Linked DNA regions of Drosophila melanogaster. Changing the gene in region 2 together with the main gene of any one other region gives a genetic interaction. Each region holds a gene or a part of one and is shown on either strand. Other genes may lie near its edges. The genes, in order: Nipped-B and c(2)M.

Region 1 (5,074 bases), on a different chromosome or scaffold from region 2:
GGTGGTAGCGATGGAGATGGTGGTCCGCGCGGCTGTGAAGACTTCATCATTTAACATCGGTTTCGCAGGATTTCTGGGCCCACCTTTGAACTGGAAACAGTGGAAGTGCCCACGGAGACGAAGTTCTCCCATCGAAATCGTCTCTATGTGGGCAACCTGACCAATGACATCACCGACGCTGAGCTACGCGAGACGTTCAAGCCATACGAGCCATACGATTAGCGAGATCTTCTCGAACCTGGATAAGAACTTTAAATTCCTAAAGGTCGACTATCATCCCAATGCCGAGAAAGCTAAACGCGCCCTGGACGGATCGATGCGAAAGGGTCGCCACGATTCGCACCGAATGTCATTTTGCGGGTGATTTTGCGGAAGAAATCTCACACCGATACTTAAAACCATCGATAGTATCGATAGTTCCATCGATGGTTTTCCAGCTCTATTACAAACAATAATACCAACTGGGTCTAGTTTAAGAAAATTTCTGTTCCCACACTGAACTTTGCTCCTGAATTGTGTTTTCACTTGACGGACCCACGCGTCCGCGTCCTGACTTTGAGACTCCCGCCCATACACTGCTCGACTACCCTCGTGCACTTATTACTCACTACATGCTTTAGCTGCCTGGTCCAGAGGCGCTGCTGCCGTCTATAGGCTGTTTTATTTTCCCGTTACGCACGGCTCGCTAGAGTCCAAGGTCCACGTGTCCAGTAAACACCTTTACCGTTCGACCTCTGTGCCCTTGGCCGGTCTCTCCGCTTTACCGGGGTCCAAGGTCCAATCTTCAGCGTTTGACCTGACTCCTCCCGCATTACTGCTTTCTGCTCTGTTCTCCTGGACTTATTGTGAGTTTTAAGACCCCTCACAGTATTGCTGTTTTGCAGCAGGGGAGAGAAAAAGAATACGTATGCATATACGATATATACGTTGAGTATGCCCTAAGCCTTTGGTAAGCGTGGAAAGGCTGATTATGCATTTATATTTGGTGGCCGTAAATTGGGTGCCCACCTCCGCCGAATCCGCCTACCGACTCATTTAGTCTCCCTTTGTGAACCGGTATGTGCGCGCTTTGTAAGCAATTTTTTTAGGCCAATTTTTTTCACACTCTCGCACACTCAATGTAAGGTAAGTTTTTAGTAAGTGAGCAAACATGCTCAATAAAACGACGCTATGTGGCGCTTTTCGACTATAATTCGATTGATCGAGCTCTGCAGGTACCGGCTACGAGCTCCACATTTATTGCCAATTGTTCTTCAATCGTTGAATTATTAATTCACAAAATATTTCTCATGTATGAGAAGGACAATTGACTTTACCAAGACGCAAATTTGTTTTAAGCCTGTAGAAAATAATTTTACGTATAATTGCACAAAAAGGTAAGGTAATCATATATCATATATCAATAATTTGTTTTCCCAAGATCCATGATCTGGAAGAAATGAACTAAAACAAAATCGATTTATTCGCATACAATTGCACATCCTTGAATATTCATATCTTGTAAGCATACGCATTTCATATGGAAAAAGAGATTATGCGATATCGGTTGTTTTGCCGTTTTGAACGGCATTTCCTAATGAAGACCTTTTTATCGACTCGTTTTCACTGTTAACATTTATTGAAATAAGTATCGGGACAGGAGAAGTAGCTTCAAGTCGGTAATGCCCTAAATTGCAATAAAACATTTTTCTTTTAGAAATATCTTTCAAACATCCAAGCTCTCTACGTTTTATTGAGTTGGTGTGTAACTACATAGTCTGGAAAGGAGTATTATATATGAAGTATTAACGTTTCGGTCTGAAAAGGTATTTTTTTATTAAGTTTAGCGCGGCCACACTATCCTACAGGTCGGCCATATTCTTCAAACACTATTTCGCAAACTAAAAAATTACAAGTACTTATTATTGTAAATGTATAAGTTGGTATTTAATTAAAACGCAAAGGAGAACCGGAGTAATTCGTTTATATTGAACTGTGGCAATTCGTTAATAATTGTTGATCGCAATAACATAACGGTAAATGGTAATGCTACCGCAATTTTTTTAACTACGTAAGTAGTTGTTTATTATAAATCAATTTAAAGGGATTTATCTAATAGATTTTTAATTTATAAACTAAAAAGATAAGATAGTACATAAAGTGACTTATAATACAGCTGGACAACATCCATATATTTTAATATATTCATATAAACATTGTTTCCAATTACATTGTTTATCATGTTGATGAAATAATGTTTGGTTGTAGCGTAATGAATAATAGATTTATTTTTTTTAGCTCCTAGAATCAAAGTTGTGTTGTAATCTATCGGATTATCCTTACATTTAATATGGGGGAACGTGACAACCCAACCGTACCTGTAACAACATTAGCTGGTTTAACCAGCACTTCTGATTGTAAGTATTTTCTGTGCAAGAAAATATAATGTGTATGTACAAGTTTAAAAACTTTTAATATTTTTCTCGTTTAAATGCAAGTGCTAAGCGAGCTACCAGTGGCGGATTCGCTCCAGAGTGCTGCGTCCTTAAATAAATCTTTATTGTTCCATGCTTTGGTAGCTAACGAGTCTAGCAATTTACTTTCTATGCGAAACGAAAATCTAGTTCGACAATTGGTAACTGCCATTGAGAGAACAAACTCCGATAATATGTTAGTTGTTTAATTGATTGTATGTTTTGCTTTATTAAAATAACTTGTATTTTAGAGAGTTAATACATTGCCCAGTTCAAGACACAGCAACTAACTGTAGTACTTATCCTGAGCTTCTCCAGGGAATATATCATTTTCGCCCAGCGGTTTTTAACACTTCCATAAAAATACGTATGTTTTAATAATAAAAGCAACCATTTGTGTATTACATGAATTTCATCCACAGACTCTCCGGACCAACATACTGCTAATGCTCGATTAGAGGCAAAGAAAATGCAAATTGATTCCTATTCAATACCGGAATGTTATGCATCACCAACAAATTTGTCGATTTCAAATGAACATCAATTGCAAGACGCTCAAGCCTGCTTCAATCAGCTTACTAGGTGGCGTATATATTTTATTATTCTACAAGCCTTATATTTAATGCATTTTTCTGTTTTAGTATGACCTCAAAAGAAATCTTAGAAGAATTTTCACAAATAAATTTTAAGGAAAATGCAACAGAAAAAGATAAAATTGACGTTATTGAAAATTCAGATTTAAATGTGACTAAGATACTTTCACAAAATACTCTAAAAAAAAAGTCTAACACACCAGAAAGAAGTACGGTGCAATCAATACAAGAACAGTTTTTTATTCAGCAACAAGAAGCCAATTATAATTTAAAACATGATTTAAACCAAGTATCAACAAATGTTGGTCAAATTCAAAATATTTCTGATACTTTTCCCCAAGAGCCGTCAAATTTTAATTTAAATTCTGTAAATATCCCAAACATGTTATATGTACAAAGTCCACCTTTCACTGAATCAGAACCAACTCAAGCACACCACTCTTCAATTGAATATTTAAAAAAAAAAAAATCACAAATTCTTGACGTCAGCATTTTAAATCGACAACAGGTGTTAGAAAATACCAGCTTACATATTATTAATAAAAGTTCAACGTACCAAACGAACCAAAATGTATCAACAACTACATCGACATCTACTTCCTCAAGTGGCAAGTCCCAGGTCCGGGTATGTATAAATCGCCTTAGTATTGAGGATTCTCGCCTTATGCAACAGAGTATTAAAAAGTTTGTACAAAAGTCACCAGAATTGGCTAGAAGCATGGGGTTACTACAAGAAACGTGCCAGCAGCAACATGAAAACTTGAATATTATACCCACGAGTGCGGAAGAATGTGTATTAGAGAGTCGTGCTTCCAGTACAAATAATACAGTCAAAATCCCTATTGATACATTTTCTACTATAAAAGCCGATGAAAAACGATCCGCGAAAAGAAAACTTGCCATATCAATTGGTGACATCCCACCGGAACAAATATGTAAGTAATGAGTAATAATTTCCTTATACAAAAATTAATTGATCAAAATTATATTATAGTTTCAAAGCCTAAAATGCGTCGGGTCGAAAGAATTACACCTCTTTCGAACACAAAGTGTGTGAAGGAGGAAGTCACCCGTTCGCAAACATATCAACAATTTATTCGAAACATGGATCACATAATTGAAATATTAGACGATAGTGAATCTCCTAACTTTGACTCAGGTAAGTTCAAATACTCTGTTAAAGCTAGAGAATATTTATGAAACTTTAAGACCTATTATTAATTAGTTCGATTAATTGACACTTATGTTTACAAATATTTTTACCCGTTACTCTTAGAGTAAAGGGGTATACTAGATCCGTTGAAAAGTATGTTACAGGCAGAATAAAGCGTTTCCGTCTATATTAAGTATATATGTATATCCTTGATCAGGATCAATAGCCGATTCGATCTAGTCATATCACTCTGTCCGTATGAACGTCGAGATTGGAGGAAATATATGAACTAGAAGGTTGATATTCAGCATTCAAATTCTAGAGACAAAGATGCAGCGAAAGCTTGAATGCATTCCCCAATTAATATTGATGCAGCGAAATTGATGCAGCGAAAGCTTGAATGCATTCCCCAATTAATATTGGGGAATAAAATGAGAAATGTTTTTTAAATTGCTCTAAAGTGTGTGGTTGACCGGTTTGACAGCTTTAGGGCGTTAGAGTGGGCGTGGCAAAAAGTTTTTGGCAAATCGATAGAAATTTAAAAAATTAAAAATATGTGAAAAAACAGGAACATACTAAAATCGACTAAATACAGCAATTTCGTTATCTCTAAAGCTTGCCCTATAACTTCACAATACTATTGAGCTAGGCTTACGACTATATTTTCTTTTTCATAAGACGAAGGCTGTCCACAGAGTTTTTATTGGTGACAAATCTTGTCAATATATTCCGATTTTTTGCCAACTTGGTACTGGTTTAAACCATCAAAGGAATGCCAGCTTTGATCATCTGGATGATCCGTGTATTTCTTTAACCCTCTTGATTCTCCTTGTCATGGGTTAGCTGAAAGGTTACTGAGGTACTTAGGAGGTAGT
Region 2 (5,479 bases):
TTCAGATATATTAATGTTACAAGAGCCAATGCCTACTCAACCTTTAATACCCCAACCCATATATGTATGACAACTTCCAAAAATTTAGTAAAAACTAAATATTTTCGTATACTTCCGCAGGGGCCACCGCCGAAGTGATTCTTTCCCGAGGTATCATGCTGTGGGTGGGTGCCCGAGGCACCGAGTTCAGTTGGATCTACATCCTCAAGTGTCTGGAATCGAACGTGCTTCTGGTGCAGCACATCACTACGGCCACCCTGATCTGGCTCTTCACCCGTCACGATTTGAACAAGGCATTAAAGCCGCTGGTTAGTCTACTTCTGGCGGTGACTGTCTTCAAAGGCGTCTGGCTGGAGGGCATGCTCCACATTCTGACCATTGGACCTTGGCTAACGGTGGCTGTTAAAGCGCTGGTGGCGGCCGTCATTGGATTCTGCACGCTGCACATCTATTCGGGTCTGGCCCAGCAGATCGGAATTTAAGCAATTGTGCCAAACACTCTGTATTCCTTTGTTTTTGTAACTTGTTTATTTTTTGGTGTTGTCAGAGAAATTGAGATTTTGTAACAAAGACAACAATTACGGTTTAGAGAATTACTCCAAATGTTAATGAATTATAGCTACGATAACGTAATAGTAACAAAGATAACAAACAACTTTTAATGGGTACACGAAACTAATATGATAATGAAAAAAAAACTATTTTTATAGACAGCAACAAGTAACATCTATAGAATTTTTCAATTCTTGAAATGAAACGAATTATCCAGGACATCGTTGCTCAATTGTACCATAAGATTGTATGGAAAAAGAGTAGATTAAAGCCATCTAGGTTAGAGATTGGCTCAACTTATATGTTATAACACAATAGCAATAACAGAAAACAAAACAACAACAAAAATGTGGAAGATTGTCAACTACAAAGTTGTTTGGTAATCTTGAAAAAAATTATCTAAAAATATTCACAGAGTCTCACTCAGCATAAGATTGTCTATTAGCTTAGCGGACTCTTTGCCAAGAGTAATTTGGTACATTTCCAGCGAATTAGCTCGCTTTGATATCTCTATAAAATGGTCTCGAACAAGATCTGAAATTTAAGCTATACGTTATTTCCAACACACATTTTGTTCTTTTTCGAACTCACACAACAAATGGAGAAAGGCTAACGAAGCCTTGATGCGACTATCAAACGTTTTTATAAAATCAATGGCATCGATTCCCGTGATTTTCGGATTATTACGCCAAATGCTTAAGAGACTCATCATTACGCTGTAGGTATCTGCAATGAGATTATATTTTATTTACGATAGCATGTTGTAAACATTGGCTGAACTCACCATCATGATTATCCTCACGGTATATGCCGTGCTCATTCATTTCATTATGATAATTCTGATTTACATCATCACGTGGCTGAAGTTGAGGTTGCACACAGTCTTCCACTTCAAGCGGTTCGGGCTGATAGATATGTGCCGCTTTATCCCTACATTTTGTAGCCTGCGATGGTCGCACAAATATCTCTTTAGAAAGATTCTCGGTAAACTCGCAGCCAAATATGGTTCTCAATGTGTTTTCTGCCTCGAATTCCTTTTCTTCATTACTGAGCTTAGGTCCGGAGTGGTTATGAAGAGCTAAAAAACTTACACTACATCAAAAAATTAAAAAGTTTTAAATAGCAAAATGTATAAGGCTCCTACTTATTATACAGTTTACAGAGAAGTTCCTTAGGGGGTTTCCGTAAATCCGAGGATTTTGGCACTATCACATTCCTTGAAAGGTATTCTTCCATATATTTCTGTCTATGCTTCACCAGCTGCTCCCGGGTGTATTCAATTCGTTTGTCTACTATTAGCTTTCTTTTCCGATTTTTCGGGTGGCTAAATGTTATTTCTCCAAAAGAATTTAAAACGGATGGCAACGACGGTTCACAAACTATCTGAGTTACTTCAGCTGGTTCAATGTTATGCGGAAAGATTTGGGTCATGATAGCATTGTCAGCTTGGAAAACATCGCAATCATCCAATCTGGGCATTTTATCCGGTAAGATGTCAGTTGGATCCTGAGCTATTGAGTGTCGCTTTACTATAATACAAAAAAATAGTTTATTACATTTTCAATTGAATTGAGAATTCTTACGTGAGTTCCGTGTGCCATCTTTGGGGTAAAGCTCTTGAAAAATGGTTAAGTCCGCGCCCTCGGCTTCGCCAAAACCATTTGATGGCATAATTAAGCTATGATCTTCGGGAAGTTCAATCTCTTCGGTGATTGTAATGGAATGATACGACTTTGACTGAGTGCAACTCCGGGGTTGTTCAATAGACTTTTTGCGAAAAATGAAATCATATAAGGAAGCAGTCCAACAGTATATTGACGACTAACCTCGTTCAGGTCCTCCACCACCTGTTGTGTGCACTCCGTTTGCCACATCTGGCATTCGGATAGCATCTTCTCGTAGTATTCATGTGAGAATTCATCCAATAGATCCGATTCCTGCAGTCTGGGACGTTTTGATACTGTTACTTTAGATTTCTTGGTGATCACCCGCTTTCCTTTGCGTTGGATTCGAATCTCTGATTTGTTGACCACTACGGATTTTGTTGTGGTGAGAACGTAATCCAAGTTGGTACGTGTACATTGGTCAAGTAATACCTTCGTGTCCCCTGTAAGAATTCGTGATTATATATCAATGTTACGTAATATTCGGACTAATACTTACCCAAAAGTAGATCCACTTGGCATCTAAAAATATCCGCAACTCCAAAAACCAAGCGGGAAATGTCCTTGAAAATAACATTTTGCCGGTTTCTTGCGGCCAAAACATTGGATCGTTTCTGGCGTTTTCTTAATGCATTTTCCTCAATTAATTCGGTGATTTGCTTGCTGAAATGTAGATAAATGTTGAAAACAATTGAATATAATGAAATGTTAAAAAAATTCATTATATTTAATATTTAATTACCAGCAGGCGACTACATCCACATCAGCGATCTCATTTCGATTAAGTTGGCCAAATGCCGATTTCCTCGGTTTGCGCCCTCCCGCTTTCCAGCAGGAATTAAGGATGTTGCTCTCATATAAATTCAAGCTCATTGTAACTACGACATTAAGCACATAGATTATAGTATTAACTATTTATAAGTTAGTGCTCTCTGTAACAACCCTAAAGTAACGGTACTTTTTTGACAGTCCATCAGCCACTAGAGAGGACAAACATGATCCAAATATCGTATACGAACGATTTTTACCTACTATAAAATAATGATAAGTTTTAAGTATATCTACAAAACATTTTTAAAAAAGAGCGTTCCTATTTCAATCTAAAAAATACATTTCAATTATTTTTAATAAATTCCATAAATAATACCAATGTTGCCGTAAAGAAAAAAGCTTAATGAAAAAAAAACCTTTAGCAAATATTGTTATTATTTTTTAATTTATCAGAAACGTCGTTTAACAACACTTCACATATTTTTGATGCAGCACAGAATATTATTTGGCGTTCAGTGAACGGTCTCACTGCAGGAACAACAAAACAAAACTCAGAATAAACGACAGTATTTAAACGATTCCTTAAGGACAAGTGATATTGCATTCCTACAATTAACTGCCAAAAATTCGGTAGTGCAGCACACTTTACAGATCGCATCCCTAACTTCATAGCTAAAGTTATGGTAGGAAGTGTATATAGGGTCGGAAATCAATTACCAAAATGAAAACATGACTAATAGAGTGTGGGCGTGTTTTTGTTTTTGTTTTTCAATCGACGATTGTTGTTAGCAGATAACTTTGGTGATTCCAATTCATTAATCAATTATATCGATTTCATACAGAGTGATAACCAGATATGCGACATAAGCAACGAAGTTCTGGAGGAATTGAAGAAGTTTCGATTCAGCAAGAGCAAAAATAATGCGGCTTTGATATGTAAGCCTTGATTGTCATGGTAACAGATGTGTGTAGTTTTTATGACCACTCCATTGTCCCTTGCAGTGAAAGTCGACCGGGAGAAGCAAACGGTGGTGCTGGACGAGTTCATCGACGATATTTCGGTGGACGAGCTGCAGGATACATTGCCAGGACACCAGCCCCGATATGTCATCTATACGTATAAAATGGTCCATGACGATCAGCGCATTTCGTACCCAATGTGCTTCATATTCTACACACCCAGGGATAGCCAGGTGGGAGTTTAGCAATGCTCAAATATATTCTATAATTCATAACTCTCTGTTTCAGATCGAATTGCAGATGATGTACGCCTGCACGAAGAGCGCTCTTCAGCGCGAAGTAGATCTCACACGCGTCTACGAGATACGCGAACTAGACGAACTCACCGAGGAGTGGCTGAAAGCCAAGCTCAAGTAGAGAGGTTTCGATCTCTGGGATCAATCAATCCGGGCCGTTGTCAAAAGCAATATTTTATGATAGTTCTCTGATTGATTTTTGAGCTTTTTATATACATATTCAAACTGGATTAAGCCGATACCAACGATGCATACCAATACCAAACAAACCAATATTGAGATACTACAATTTTTACCTACAGAAAACACAAATCAAGCTTAGTTTATACAACAATGACATTTTTATATCGACGACAAGTATGCGACAAGTACGCGCGGGGAGTTTTTAGTGATTTTAGTTCTTGCATTTAAGTAATAATCTTAATAGAAGCTGTGCTTGCCAAATTTCTACATGTATTTATTGTAAAGATATAAAAGCAAACATGACAAAATATTCCATTTTATATAGACAAACTAAATAAAAGTGTTCAATATCAAAACATAATCTAAAACAATAATTATGATTAAGATAAATCTTCGTAGCTATACTCTAATAATGTAGTCTTTGTGCCGCCGTGTGGTGCAGCATAGTGTAACGTCCTTCACTTGGCGTTGGCGGTGGAGGCGGCGGCGGTGCCAACATGTGAGCCATTGCAGCCATTCCCATTTGTGTGGCGGGATTCGGTGGGCCGAGATGATGCAGTGCATCGTGATGGTAGTGATGCGACATAGGTGGTGCAGGAGGCAACGGCAAATTCAGTAGATTATTATTCGCCGCATGCGTGCGAAAATGTAGACTTAGGCTGTCCGCCGTATCAAATGCCTTGTCGCAATCCGGACACTTGAAGTGGGCGTGATCGAGGGTGTCCAGACCCACGGGATCCGTGTCTATAGCCTCATCATCATCATCATCCACTATATCATGGTTTGTACTGGACTCCAGAGGATGAAGCTTCAATTTATGAGTCCGCATATCTCTTCGCCTGCTGAAAGCCTTGCCGCAGACATCGCAGTGATGGTTTTTGATGCCCGTATGGGTTATCATGTGCTTGGAGAGATCACCGGCGGTGTAGAAACCTTTCTGACATAGCGAGCATACCTGATCCCGCACTCCTAAATGAATCTTCTGGTGCGCCTGGAAATTGCCTAACGCGGAAAACTGCTTTGAGCAGATCTCACACTGAAAAGGCTTGTCGC

The links.
Region 1: of c(2)M (region 2) and Nipped-B, changing one suppresses a phenotype caused by changing the other (phenotypic suppression), as found in Drosophila melanogaster (one study listed by BioGRID).

Annotation. Positions count from the first base shown.
Region 1 is NT_033778.4:4,725,755-4,730,828, reverse strand, and holds the start of Nipped-B (Nipped-B), read left to right. Parts: upstream 1-1,811; 5' UTR 1,812-2,050; intron 2,051-2,277; 5' UTR 2,278-2,329; coding exon 2,330-2,396; intron 2,397-2,477; coding exon 2,478-2,649; intron 2,650-2,704; coding exon 2,705-2,820; intron 2,821-2,875; coding exon 2,876-3,035; intron 3,036-3,094; coding exon 3,095-3,981; intron 3,982-4,040; coding exon 4,041-4,205; intron 4,206-5,074. UniProt on the Drosophila melanogaster protein: Plays a structural role in chromatin. Involved in sister chromatid cohesion, probably via an interaction with the cohesin complex.
Region 2 is NT_033779.5:16,300,962-16,306,440, reverse strand, and holds c(2)M (crossover suppressor on 2 of manheim), read right to left. Parts: upstream 3,178-5,479; 5' UTR 3,090-3,177; coding exon 2,959-3,089; intron 2,880-2,958; coding exon 2,716-2,879; intron 2,660-2,715; coding exon 2,379-2,659; intron 2,320-2,378; coding exon 2,136-2,319; intron 2,082-2,135; coding exon 1,697-2,081; intron 1,645-1,696; coding exon 1,337-1,644; intron 1,279-1,336; coding exon 1,144-1,278; intron 1,087-1,143; coding exon 962-1,086; 3' UTR 501-961; downstream 1-500. Other genes in the region: CG5861 (uncharacterized protein), read left to right, coding at 121-482; GMF (glia maturation factor), read left to right, coding at 3,668-3,670, 3,830-3,923, 3,990-4,180, 4,236-4,364; CG17328 (uncharacterized protein), read right to left, coding at 4,833-5,479.